3 linked regions of the Saccharomyces cerevisiae S288C genome follow. Changing the gene in region 1 together with any one later gene gives a genetic interaction. Each region holds a gene or a part of one and is shown in the gene's direction. Other genes may lie near its edges.

Region 1 (4,875 bases):
AGTCTGTCATCTTTAGGAACGGACTTGAATGTCTCATGAAAGTCTTTATTTCTTTGCTCAGACGCATAGTGATAAGGTGTGTCCATGTAACGTTCTTCCACGAATCGTCTATGATCGTAATTGTCTTCTTTCATTTGGGAAGGAGTGAGTCTTGTCTTGACCTCATCAGGCTTTTCCACCTGTTGCAAGGGAGAGCCTATTTCAGCAATTGTGGCATTACTGATACGGCGGCTTGATCTTCTTTTGGACCCCATGGAAGGCTCCCTTCTATGTGATATAATGCTTGGTTGCGAAACTGGCGAAGTTGGCGTAGTTGATCTAGAAACTGGGGATGGCACGTTTGACTTAAACGAAGAGATCATTCCACTGAAGAACGAGGACGTCGAAGAAGTCCTTGATTGATCGTGCTTGATCTCTGTAGGGTGTTCATCGGCGGCACTTTGGTTTGTAATCACTACTAAATTCTTGCGTACGTCGTTGGTCTCTGTATTTAGGGGCACTTCTTGCAGTGACTCAGCTTCAGTATCGCCGGCATTGTCATTGTTACTTGCATGCTCAAAGGGGGGACCCAATTGTTTCACAGAATCAGTACTGTCCTCATTATCTGATACGGGTTCCCAGTTATCTACATCCGACATCACCACTAATCTTTTTGTGTAGTTGCCTTCTTCACCCTTTTCTCAGATAGCGAAATGGTTGAGTGTTTTAATATAATTGTCAAGATGCTTTATGAAAAAGGGTGGGAGAAACAAGTCCCCCTGCTCAGCGATACGCGATCTCTCTGATCTCAGACATAAAGCAAACATTCTATCATGAGTGACATTGAGGATGACGGTAATTGGTAATATCTGACCTTCTGACCTCCACTCAACACAATGCAGAAAGCTATCAAATGTTTTGAACCAAACATGAAAGAGATTCAGAAAGTTGCCAAGCCAACGTGATGTCACAGGTCAAAGTTTAAGTGAAGGCTATTGGAATCTGCGGATCAGACATTCACTACTACACGGATGGCCAGGTCAGCGTAAAGTAACCTGGGAAGCCCATGACTTTGGGCCACGAATCCAACGGTGCTGTTCTTGAAATTGAAGTATCTCAAACTACTGTAAAGCGGGTGATGCAGTAAGCATATAGCCCTCATACCCAAATAGGTTTACCAAAGAGTTTCTGTGAGGCCATTATAGTTTGCAGCTCAACATACCATTTGCTGCATCACTGACCGTGACGGCACCCTTTGTCAAGAGTTCGTGGTTAACGTCGACTGCGTTTACTGATTACCGTTACAGTGAATTTCTAGCAAGAGTCCTCTGTAGATGCCACTATTTGTCGCTCTCCATGTAGTAAGGCCGTCCTAGCTGAAGTGTGGGGAGTAAGCTGTAGTTATAGGTGCTGGAACAATTGATCTGCTGGCGGGTGCGGTACTCAGAGGGTTTGGTGTTCATGAGTACACATGATTCCAAGAAAGAGCAAAATGGACAGTTTATAAACGCTATGAAGAACTGCTATAATCAGAAAAAAAGGAAGCCTGATGGATTCGAGTCCTCAGGTACTCAAAAGAGCGTTGAGAATATGCTAAAATGTGTCAAGAACGGTGGAACAGTTAAGTAGGTTGATATCCACCCCTCGAATGAAAATGTGGGGACCCTCCCAACGAGATTCCTTCAGAGAGATTACATATAAAGTGAAATTCAAGTATGACGATGGTGACTACTCCTTGGCCATTGATTTGATGTCTAGGGATTGTATTAATGTCTATGAGTTGATTACCGATAGGCTACTGGTTGATTTCCTTTCAAAAAAGCTGCTCAAGCTAAGATAGGTAAGGTGTTTATAGAATTTATCGAACTGTATCTAAATATTTTTAATATTCTTGTTTTATTACTTTGTGGCTTTTGTATTCAGTCTGCACCCTGTTTCGCCATCGATTCTTATAATACATACATTTTTATATAAGATCACAGAAAATACGAAGACGTAAAAAAAGAGTTCCGAATGAAAGAAGAAAGAATCAAGCACAGGAAGACAAGAAACGATGTTGTTCTACTCGTTCGTGTGGTCTGTACTGGCCGCTAGTGTTGCTTTGGCAAAGACACATAAGTTAAACTATACCGCTTCTTGGGTAACTGCCAATCCTGATGGATTGCATGAAAAAAGGATGATTGGTTTTAATGGCGAATGGCCACTTCCAGATATCCATGTTGAAAAAGGAGATCGTGTTGAGCTTTATTTGACTAACGGCTTTCAAGACAATACTGCTACTTCTCTACATTTCCATGGTCTTTTCCAGAATACGAGTTTGGGGAACCAGCTTCAAATGGATGGTCCTTCTATGGTGACACAATGTCCCATCGTTCCGGGACAAACATACCTGTACAACTTCACTGTCCCAGAGCAGGTAGGAACGTTCTGGTACCATGCACACATGGGTGCCCAGTACGGTGACGGTATGAGGGGTGCATTTATCATCCACGATCCGGAGGAGCCCTTCGAATATGATCATGAACGAGTCATCACTCTATCGGACCATTATCACGAAAATTATAAAACGGTTACCAAAGAGTTTCTGTCAAGATATAATCCAACCGGTGCTGAACCTATTCCTCAAAATATTCTTTTTAATAATACGATGAATGTAACTTTAGATTTTACACCCGGTGAAACGTATCTCTTCAGGTTCTTGAACGTTGGGCTGTTTGTATCCCAGTATATCATTCTTGAGGATCATGAAATGAGTATAGTAGAGGTGGACGGTGTTTACGTAAAGCCAAACTTTACTGATTCGATATATCTTTCTGCGGGGCAAAGAATGAGTGTGTTGATTAAAGCTAAAGATAAAATGCCTACAAGAAACTACGCTATGATGCAAATAATGGATGAGACGATGCTTGATGTTGTCCCACCTGAGTTACAACTCAACCAAACTATCCAAATGAGGTATGGCCACTCGTTGCCGGAGGCACGCGCATTGAACATTGAAGATTGTGACTTGGACCGCGCCACGAATGACTTTTACCTAGAACCTCTGATTGAGAGAGACCTACTTGCTCACTATGACCACCAAATTGTCATGGATGTAAGAATGGTCAACTTGGGTGATGGTGTGAAGTATGCATTTTTCAATAATATCACTTACGTCACACCAAAGGTGCCTACTTTGACAACGTTGCTTACCTCAGGAAAGCTTGCGTCAGATCCTAGAATTTATGGTGATAATATCAATGCGCAGTTATTGAAACATAATGATATCATAGAGGTTGTTCTAAACAATTATGATTCTGGCAGACATCCATTCCATTTGCACGGTCATAATTTCCAAATAGTCCAAAAGTCGCCAGGGTTCCATGTTGATGAAGCTTATGACGAATCTGAGCAAGATGAAATGACCGTCCCTTATAACGAATCTGCGCCATTACAACCGTTCCCTGAGAGGCCGATGGTGAGAGATACAGTGGTTCTTGAACCTAGTGGACATGTTGTCCTGAGATTTAGAGCTGACAACCCTGGTGTCTGGTATTTCCATTGTCATGTAGATTGGCACTTACAACAAGGTTTGGCTTCGGTCTTTATTGAGGCACCCGTTTTACTTCAGGAAAGGGAAAAGCTTAATGAGAACTATCTGGATATATGCAAAGCCGCTGATATTCCGGTAGTTGGTAATGCTGCAGGTCATTCGAATGATTGGTTTGACTTAAAAGGATTACCAAGACAACCTGAGCCACTACCAAAGGGATTTACTACTGAAGGATATTTGGCATTGATTATTTCAACCATTATCGGTGTCTGGGGCCTATATTCCATTGCTCAGTATGGTATTGGCGAGGTTATCCCTAACGATGAGAAGGTGTACCACACGTTAAGGGAAATCTTGGCTGAAAATGAAATAGAGGTTTCTCGCGGCTAATTAAACAAGAAAATATAAAAGAAAAATGAAAGAAGTTTATATTCATATTGATGATTTGCAATCCTAAAAAAAATGTAGCACTGTAAATACTGCTTACTATTGAGTATTTTCATTTTGTTCATTCCATTCCCTATATAATATTCATACGTAATCAAATCTATTGCTTTTTTTTTCTCTTTTATTTCGTTGTTTTAGCTCTGACGTTGTGACGCTCAGCCAAGAACGTCACAAAAAAAGGATGAAAATCAAAAAACAAAATATTCAATAAGTGTAATATGAGAAGAGAAAAAAGAAAGAACAAGTACAGTTTCTAACATTATACTTTAAAAATTATTAAGCACAATGACAGCAATGAAAGCTATTGTCTGGAGACTTCCCAAGATGCCGAAAATCAAAATTACAAAAACTTATGAAGTTACGAAAATTACGGCGATATTGACACTAGTAGGATTTATAATGGGCCTTGAGGTGCCGTCATTGGCAACTTTTCTCACAAACAAAACGTTTAATGAGTACTTCAAGTATCCAACTCCTTTACAACAAGGTTTACTCATGGGGTCCACCCCCCTGGGTGGTATCATGGGATGTTTTATTTGCTGCATAATGAATGATAGATTCAGTAGAATATATCAATTTCAATCGGGAATAATAATATGGAATATTGTTACGTTATTGAACTTTTGTATTTGGGATATATTAGGTTTACTAATTTGCCGGATGATCAAGGGTATGATCCTTGGGAACTTTTCAATTTTAGTAGCATCCTACGCAAATGAAGTTATCCCCCGCGGCAAGCGTGGAAGTACGATGAGCTATATTCAATTGTGTTTAACCATTGGAATTCTTGTTATGCATTATTTGTGCATTGCATTAAGTCTATGGGATTCTCATTTTGCGTTCCGTATAGCGTGGTGCATAGGAATCATTCCTGGATTACTGTTCTGGATGGCTAGCTACGCTCTACCTGAATCTTA
Region 2 (4,168 bases), on another chromosome or scaffold:
TTGGTTTCCTAACACGACCAGTCGCAGGTGAGAGTCTTGGAATTATCCTTCAACACTGTGTGTTATTGTAGATCAGTAATTAAAGATCAGTGTAGTATTTTCAAATATTCTTTACTTCAGTAAGGACAGAATTTGTAGTGACATTTAATGAAGAATAACAAAGGGATATGGATGTCAGGCGACATTACTCGACGTAAATTACTCTCACGAAGGCAAAAATATAACCTAGCCATTGAGTCCTAACCTACTATTAGCGAGATCTTTCTCATTTCGGCTTTAGAGTGTTCATTTTAATACGATGGCCAAAATTAAAAAAATTCGGCCATCAGACCTTGTCGCTTTACTAAGAAGTTATACGGATGAAGATGAATTACTTGAATAAAGATCTTCACTCACTAAATGAAAACATCTGCAGCACGTGCTTGTTATGCTTAACTCCTTGTAAAAATAGTGTATTTCAAAAAATACGCAGTGACAGAGTAAAGATACCCTAACTTTTGTCCGTTGTCCTCCGGTTCCATCATTGCCAAACTAAAGTACTAAGACCATTATCGTGGGTAAGATCATACATTTAAATAAAATAAAAGATACGTAAGCACCTAGATTCCTGGGACAAGCAGCTCAAAATATTTGTTCCTCTTTCCTGTATGAACTGTCAATGCGTTGCTGCTTCGCTGCACGTATTAAGGATTTTGATGGAAGGTCCAACAAAGAAAAAGAAACGTGCGCTTTTAAAAAAAGAAGCTTTTCCTACCAAAAGTTCTTTGATCTGCTTATTCAACGTAGCATCTTATTCGCATACATTGGACTCATGTTTAAGGCATTCTAATCACACCAGTTTCCTTGCATATGAGCAAATATCTGTGCTTGCTGTTCTAACCATACGTACTACTACGTTGATTGGATTATAATGTCCTTTGGGTATTCTCCGATTACGTTGTCCCATTTTTCTTTTTTGCCTTGTTGCGAAGAGCGTTGTTCCGAAAACCGGGTGCACTTTTTGTTCACTTTATATATCCCACGAGGAGACTGCGCGAACATGATATGTTTGACCTGGCATAGTGCTATTGTTCATAAACAATAAGCCCCCTAAATACCTGCATGTACGAAGGTGTACGTACGGTCATTCGCATTTCCCTAGCATTACTTTCAGTACTGGACAGGTTATTTTTACCCCTCTAGTTTGCGACTACCACTAAATGGGCCATTTTTACGTGTCTACGACATATCGCAAGGGTTTTTTTCTTTTGTCTTATTCGAGTAATTATATAAGCGCGCGTAGTCATTTTTTTAGCGAGACCCTAGGGTCCTGTAGCAGTAATTTGAGGTTTTCATGGCTCGAACAACGACAAAATATTGAGGAATCTTGAGCCTTATTGGGGCGTAAATCACACAGGTGTTGAATGAGCTTGGAGCTTGTGCGGTTATGTATTAGATATGGGCAGTTTCCTTTAACGTTGGCGCCTCTTTCTTTCCTACCCGTGGGGTTGCTCTCGAAACTGATTAGGTCATGAGCATTTTTGCTGAGTCTTTTTAGGAAGCAGCATTTTTCTCAAACGAAAAAAAAAAAAACCAAAAAAAAAAATAAAGACAAAAAAACTATATAATGCTACTGGCCTTGAACTTGCTTGGTAGAAGCCTTCTTAATTGCACCCATTAGTTTAGCATCTACCACATCTTGATTCGATGCTCTTCATTTAGAAATACTTGTTTATATAAATATACTTCACACGGCATGAATTAATTGATAGGTAAGTAAGTTTCTTTTATCATAAGTCAAACAGTATCAGATATAAGAAGGGAAAAGGTAGATATAGAAACCTAATAAGACCCTTATTATTAAACATTCGTTAATCAAATTATGGGTAAAATTGCAGAGTTTCTCGGGAATCCAGGTGCTAGGCCTGACGTTCATCATAGAGCACCTACTGTTGACTGCAAACAGTACGAAGAATTCGGTGATTCTAACGATTACAAAAATGATGATGTGGTCAGAGTAGTCAGCCATAGCGATGAGAGTACTGATGACGAACTTTGTAATGTGAATTTAACAGAAACAGGGGCAATCTTCACGAGTAAAGGTTTTACCGGGTTAAGCAAAGGTTTCACAGATAAGACCCTGGATTTCCTGGTACGAGTGGCCGGTTCGCAGGCGGTTTTTTTTATTGTTTGGATCATCCTCATAATTTGGGTGGTTATTGGTATTGTTTATAACGCACCTTTCAATTGGCAAGTTGTTATGCAGGACGGACAGTCTATTCAAAGTTATGTTTGGGACACACTGTTGATGAGACAACAGTTGATGAGTACGCATGAACAAATTTTGATCTGCGGTAGATTGAAGTCGAGATTGGCTTCCTTCAAAAACTATCTAACAAGAAGCACCCCAGAGGAAGAAAAAGCAGACTGCACAGTTGAAGCTAATGAAGTCAGCTCTGTTGAAAATCATATAGACCCATCTGCCATTAACGGAGAACTGCCTGTGGAAAATTGGTACGACCGTTTATCTAACGTAGCAAGTAGGTATATGGGTTCAATTGCAGCAATGGTGATATTTTGGATAGGTATTTTCGTTTGGATTGGTTGCGGTGCTATCCCAAAAGATGCGGGCAACACTCCACCTTACACCGGAGAAACTACAGGTAGTAATCCAAGATTGAAAAAGTTCAGTGACGCTTGGCAGATGTATATTAACACTGCAGTTGCAGTTTCCCTTCTAATTTGCACTACTTTCTTACAAAATATAAGGGCTAGACATGATTATTTCACGGGGAGGTTTTTAGTTGATATCTTTGATATGGACGAGAAAATCGACTATCGTATAAGAAAGCATTTTAACGATTTTGAAACACCTCACCCAGTTGTTACTATTGAATCTAAAAAAAGGTCGACAGGGAGAAAGATGATTGATTGGTATGCTGATATTATTGGTACTGGTATTGGTGTCCTGATTGGTGTGGCAGTGTTCGCCACATGGATTGGTATTGGTTCGCCAATGAAGTGGGATGATAATTGGTGGTTGATTATCGGTACATACACAGGTTTAATTGGGTTTTTGGACGGTTTCGTTTTGAGAGAAGTGTACTTCCGAATCGTTCAACATGAAGAGAAAAATTATTCTGATGTGGCTAAAGAAGACCTTGAATTATTCCAAGAATTAGGTATTGAATGTCCCGAAGAATTTAGTGGTAAAGCTCCTGAAATTAACACTATTGGTTACAGAACATCCCAATATATTAATAGGATCTGCTCAACTCCATGGAGTGTTCTTGTATCCGTCATCATCATCATTGGTTTAATTTGTATTGCTTCCGGTTTGCGTTGGAGTACAACAGGTCAATTGATTGCTAACACGCCAACTATGATTATCGAAGAATTTTTCTTGCTAGTTTTGTTGCAAGCACATAATTGGGCCGATCGTCAAAGAAGAGTGGAGGTTACCGCTTTGTACGCACGTAGGCGCATACTTCTATCATACGTAGAAAAGCGTTTCCCAGAGGTTATGATGTTGGAAAAATAGCTTCATTGAACATTTTAGCATTAGTGGGAAGAATTCCTCATGTTACTTATGAGGGAGTTAATTTTCCTTAGGGATTTTAGGAATTTCTATACGGAGGTAGCGATCGACCTTAGAACTTTTATTTAGTTTGTACATATACCTCACCTGAGTTTTGCTTTTTTCTCTGGGAGCCTAAACCATTTAAAATGATATATAATAGATAATAAATCCAGGATAAAATGTGGCTAATTGATCTTTTTTCATTTTCAACTTGGTAATGACGTACTGGATACTTTCGACGCTCTTTTTTAGTCCCCGATCCCCGTCTTCCAGGACCTTGACGTGGAATTCCGATCACAGCCACTCTCGTCACGGCTCCGTTAAAATGAATGGTTTTCCGTTACATTTACTGGTCTTTTTATCTTTTTACAGTAAATGGGTGATATACTGTGACACAATTTGTGTCTCTACTGTGTGAACTTCCATTGCTGACTAAAGATTCCCCGCTCCGCTTATATGTCCGGTCCGTCCTTGACCGAAGATCACATTGCCAATTTTTCACATCTGGAAGCGATACGACAATATAGGAGAAAAAGAAAAGTGAAAGGCAAAAAAGCACCAACAGTTCTCGAGGTGAAGTGCCGTCAATCTTCTGTATAAATTCGGCCA
Region 3 (3,677 bases), on another chromosome or scaffold:
ATTTCTCTTTACTAGATCCTATGGTTTGGTTTATTAATTTAAATTGCGATACAAAGCTTCTTGACGTAAATATCGAACCAGAGAAAAATGACGTGATGATCAAAAGTTTTGAAGTGATATTTAAGAAGATAGAGAATAAGTTAAAGTTGTTATTGGAGGAGAGAATTGGCATCGAAACAAATATGCTGGGAGATAAACATGTTCAGCCTTCTATCAACGAAAAAACTTCTCCCGCACTGGTGATACCTACACCCGACGCAGAGAATGAAATATCAAAGGGCTGTGGTGCTGTTAGTGGTAAAGACAAGACTGACATCCCACAAAAAAACTCAGATTTGATAGTACCAACTTTTTACGATGAAGCAAACTTAGAGAATACGACCATTGTCGCTGCTACTCCTTCACCTACAAAATTTAGCGAGGATAAAGCTCTTGACGAACAAACTCAGCTGACCATTTCAAGTTATAGAAGCTCGAGTTCCGGGTCTATGGCTTCCGAGGACAGTACTAATTGGCGACATAATTTCCAACAAGAACTAAGCGAAAATAGTGAAGTAGCAGGAGCTGGATCCTCAACATTACCCTCGTCATTAACTTATAACTATATAGAAACTATTCCAGAGAACGAGGATTTAGAACTTTCTAAGGACGCTTCTATTTCTAATCCTTTTATGATCACAAAAATAAGAAACGTCAACAAGAAACTGAGCGAAAACTTACTTGAGGCCAAACGTACTAGCTGTGGAGATGCCAATAAAAGGGGAATGCCCAACGAAAGACAGCTTTCAAATACAGAAAAAAAGGAACTAATAAAGCTTCAGCAAACCTACGGTAAAAGAAACAATACCGTGGACATGACCATTCCACGAAATTCGAAAAAAAAAGTAACTGATAATTATATAAAGAAAGCATCCTGCATGCACAAAACAAGGCCGAAACTCATGCATTTTTCCGAGTATACCAACAACTACGTCTATACCCTGAAGAATGAAAAAATTGTTAAGCATGACAGCGATAACTTTGCCAAAGAAACTCTGTGGTTACGATCGAGGGACGATGCCACAAGCCCTTCTTCCAGTCTTTTGCAAGCCTTGCGAGCGCATGTGAAGAAACCGGGACACATTGAAGCCACGACAAATGAATGGTGCCTCTTCACGCCAGACAGCCCCTGATGATCGGGTGCACTATCACCACTCAGCACAATAGATTACTTCATAATAGACCATTGTTTGTAACTCATGGTAACCGCACCCTGTTGCCCGCCCTGCCTCTCTTCCAGTTTCCGCACCTTGAAATTTCCGTTTTGGGTCAACTTAAAAATGCTCTAATATTGCATTGTTACGACATCCTGTTGTCATGCGACTAAAGGTATTTATACTGTATATATCTCATTCATCTGATTCTGTGAGGTTGCATAATTGAATATTTATTTCAAAGGAGCTAGAAGACAAAGATCACTCCACATAAATATACGGGGTTCCTTTATATATTAGTTCATTTTTTTTTTCAGTTGTCATACCCAAACTATTATTTCCTTCTGAACTCCTTTAAATATATCGTTCTTCCAAGCTAATTGATAACAGTAGTAGCATCACAAGAGAAAAAAAATGCGATCTTATATGCAGATTCTTCAAAAATTTGCCAAATTTATTGGGCCAGGGATATTAGTCAGTGTGGCTTATATGGACCCAGGAAATTATGCCACTAGTGTTTCCGGTGGTGCTCAATACAAATATACCTTATTATTCTCTATTTTTATATCCAACATTTTTGCCGTACTTTTGCAATGTCTCTGTGTGAAGCTGGGTACTATCACTGGCTATGATTTGGCTGAAAACTGTCGTCATAATTTGCCTAAAAAGCTAAACTATACCCTTTACCTTTTCGCTGAAGTGGCAATCATTGCTACTGATCTGGCCGAGGTTGTAGGCACTGCCATCGCTTTACAAATTCTTTTCAAAATACCACTAACTTGGGGTGTCTTATTAACGGTGCTAGATGTTTTGGTAATTTTAATGTTCTACACACCAAACGGCCAGTCCTTAAAAAAAGTTAGGGTTTTCGAATTTGGCGTTGGGATTTTGGTCATTGGAACTTGCATTTGCTTTGTTTTGGAGCTGTTTAAAGTTTCAATCCCAGACAAAGCTGAATTGTTTAAAGGGTTTTTGCCTTCAAATATCATTTTTAAGGAACAACAAGCTCTTTACATTTCATTGGGTATCTTAGGTGCCACTGTGATGCCTCATTCATTATACTTGGGCTCATCCATTGTTAAACCAAGATTGCACGATTACGATTTGAAGAAATACGGTAAGGTTAATGCCCGCCCAAGTTTAAGCGCTATAAAATATACGTTAAACTATGCGTACGCTGAACTAATCATTTCTTTGTTCTTAATTGCCACCTTTGTTAATTCCGCTATTTTAATTGTTGCAGGTGCTACTTTATCAGGCCAACCTGAGGCAGAGGATGCTGATTTGTTATCTATTTACAAATTACTGGTCCACTACATATCTCCTGCGGCAGGGTTAATCTTTGCATTGGCCATGTTATGTTCTGGTCAATCTGCCGGTATCATCTGTACACTTGCCGGGCAAATCGTTTCTGAGGGATTTTTACAGTGGTCTTTACCACCTTGGGCCACAAGATTGTGCACCAGATTGATTGCCATTGTACCATGTTTATTTGTTACTTTAACCATGGGGGAAAAGGGAATTTCAGATATTTTGAATTTTTCTCAAGTGGTCTTGTCCTTAATTTTACCAATCGTATCCGCTCCTTTAATTTATTTTACCGCAAATAGAAAGTTGATGGTTGTTCATGACGAAAATGGTGTGGTAAGAGCACCTGCCGATGTTAACGCCATTGCTGATGAAACCACTCCATTGAACTCCAAGCACAGTAAAATAGTTGATTTTACTAACAGTCGTTTGTTGACCTATACCTCTGTTTTCGTATGGGCTTTAATCGGGAGCTTGAATTGCTATTTGGTGATTTCCTATCTCTTAGGTGCCGACATCCATTTTTAATGGAACCTATTTATTGTCAAGTGTGTCGTTTTCTCTCGATTCTTGTTTTCTCTCATTTCTTTATTCTGCATAATACAACCCAAGTATATACTTACGTATGCATAGCCTTCAGAACAAATGCATACTTTATCTAATATCAAAATATAAACATACATTAGTCAAAAAAGACTTGATGAGCTTTCATGAAACTAAAACAAAGATAATTCATTATTTATCTTTGATTCCACTACCGCTGACACTATTTATTTCTTGTGTTTCCGTTTACGACCTGGTTGCGCCCTTACCACAGGTATGCTACCATTATAGTTTGTTTGTAATACTGGAAAGGCCCTTACATTGTTTATAGGAACCTTGGAAACCTTCTTTGCTAAGATAACCTCCTTTAGTATTCTTTTCACTTTGAAGTATAATTCTCGTTCCTCCGTAGTAGGCTTCAAAACTTTATTTAAAATCCTCTCCTTTCTAAGTCTTTTAAGTTTTAAGAGAGAGTCTGAAACCAACTTATCTGGTGTGCCATTTCGAAAGTTCTCAATTTCGTCATCTCCAATGTAATTAGATGGTGTCCAATTATATAAGTTTTGAAGCTTGATTATGAATTGTTCCTTATTCTCAGTACTCTCTGAATTTGCAGAAGCGATAGTCGCATCA

The links.
Region 2: of FET5 (region 1) and FET4, extra expression of one rescues a mutant of the other (dosage rescue), as found in Saccharomyces cerevisiae (one study listed by BioGRID).
Region 3: mutations in FET5 (region 1) and SMF3 impair growth when combined (synthetic growth defect), as found in Saccharomyces cerevisiae (one study listed by BioGRID).

The regions. Positions count from the first base shown.
Region 1 is NC_001138.5:47,107-51,981, forward strand, and holds FET5 (ferroxidase FET5), read left to right. Parts: upstream 1-2,032; coding exon 2,033-3,901; downstream 3,902-4,875. Other genes in the region: LAM5 (Lam5p), read right to left, coding at 1-638; YFL041W-A (uncharacterized protein), read left to right, coding at 1,628-1,819; YFL040W (uncharacterized protein), read left to right, coding at 4,244-4,875. UniProt on the Saccharomyces cerevisiae protein: Iron transport multicopper oxidase, which is required for Fe(2+) high affinity uptake. May be required to oxidize Fe(2+) and release it from the transporter. Essential component of copper-dependent iron transport.
Region 2 is NC_001145.3:912,232-916,399, reverse strand, and holds FET4 (Fet4p), read left to right. Parts: upstream 1-1,861; coding exon 1,862-3,520; downstream 3,521-4,168. UniProt on the Saccharomyces cerevisiae protein: Required for Fe(2+) ion low affinity uptake.
Region 3 is NC_001144.5:209,864-213,540, reverse strand, and holds SMF3 (putative divalent metal ion transporter SMF3), read left to right. Parts: upstream 1-1,607; coding exon 1,608-3,029; downstream 3,030-3,677. Other genes in the region: mismatch repair protein MLH2, read left to right, coding at 1-1,172; RSC58 (Rsc58p), read right to left, coding at 3,272-3,677. UniProt on the Saccharomyces cerevisiae protein: Has a role in controlling the cellular iron ion levels. Mobilizes vacuolar stores of iron in conditions of low iron levels.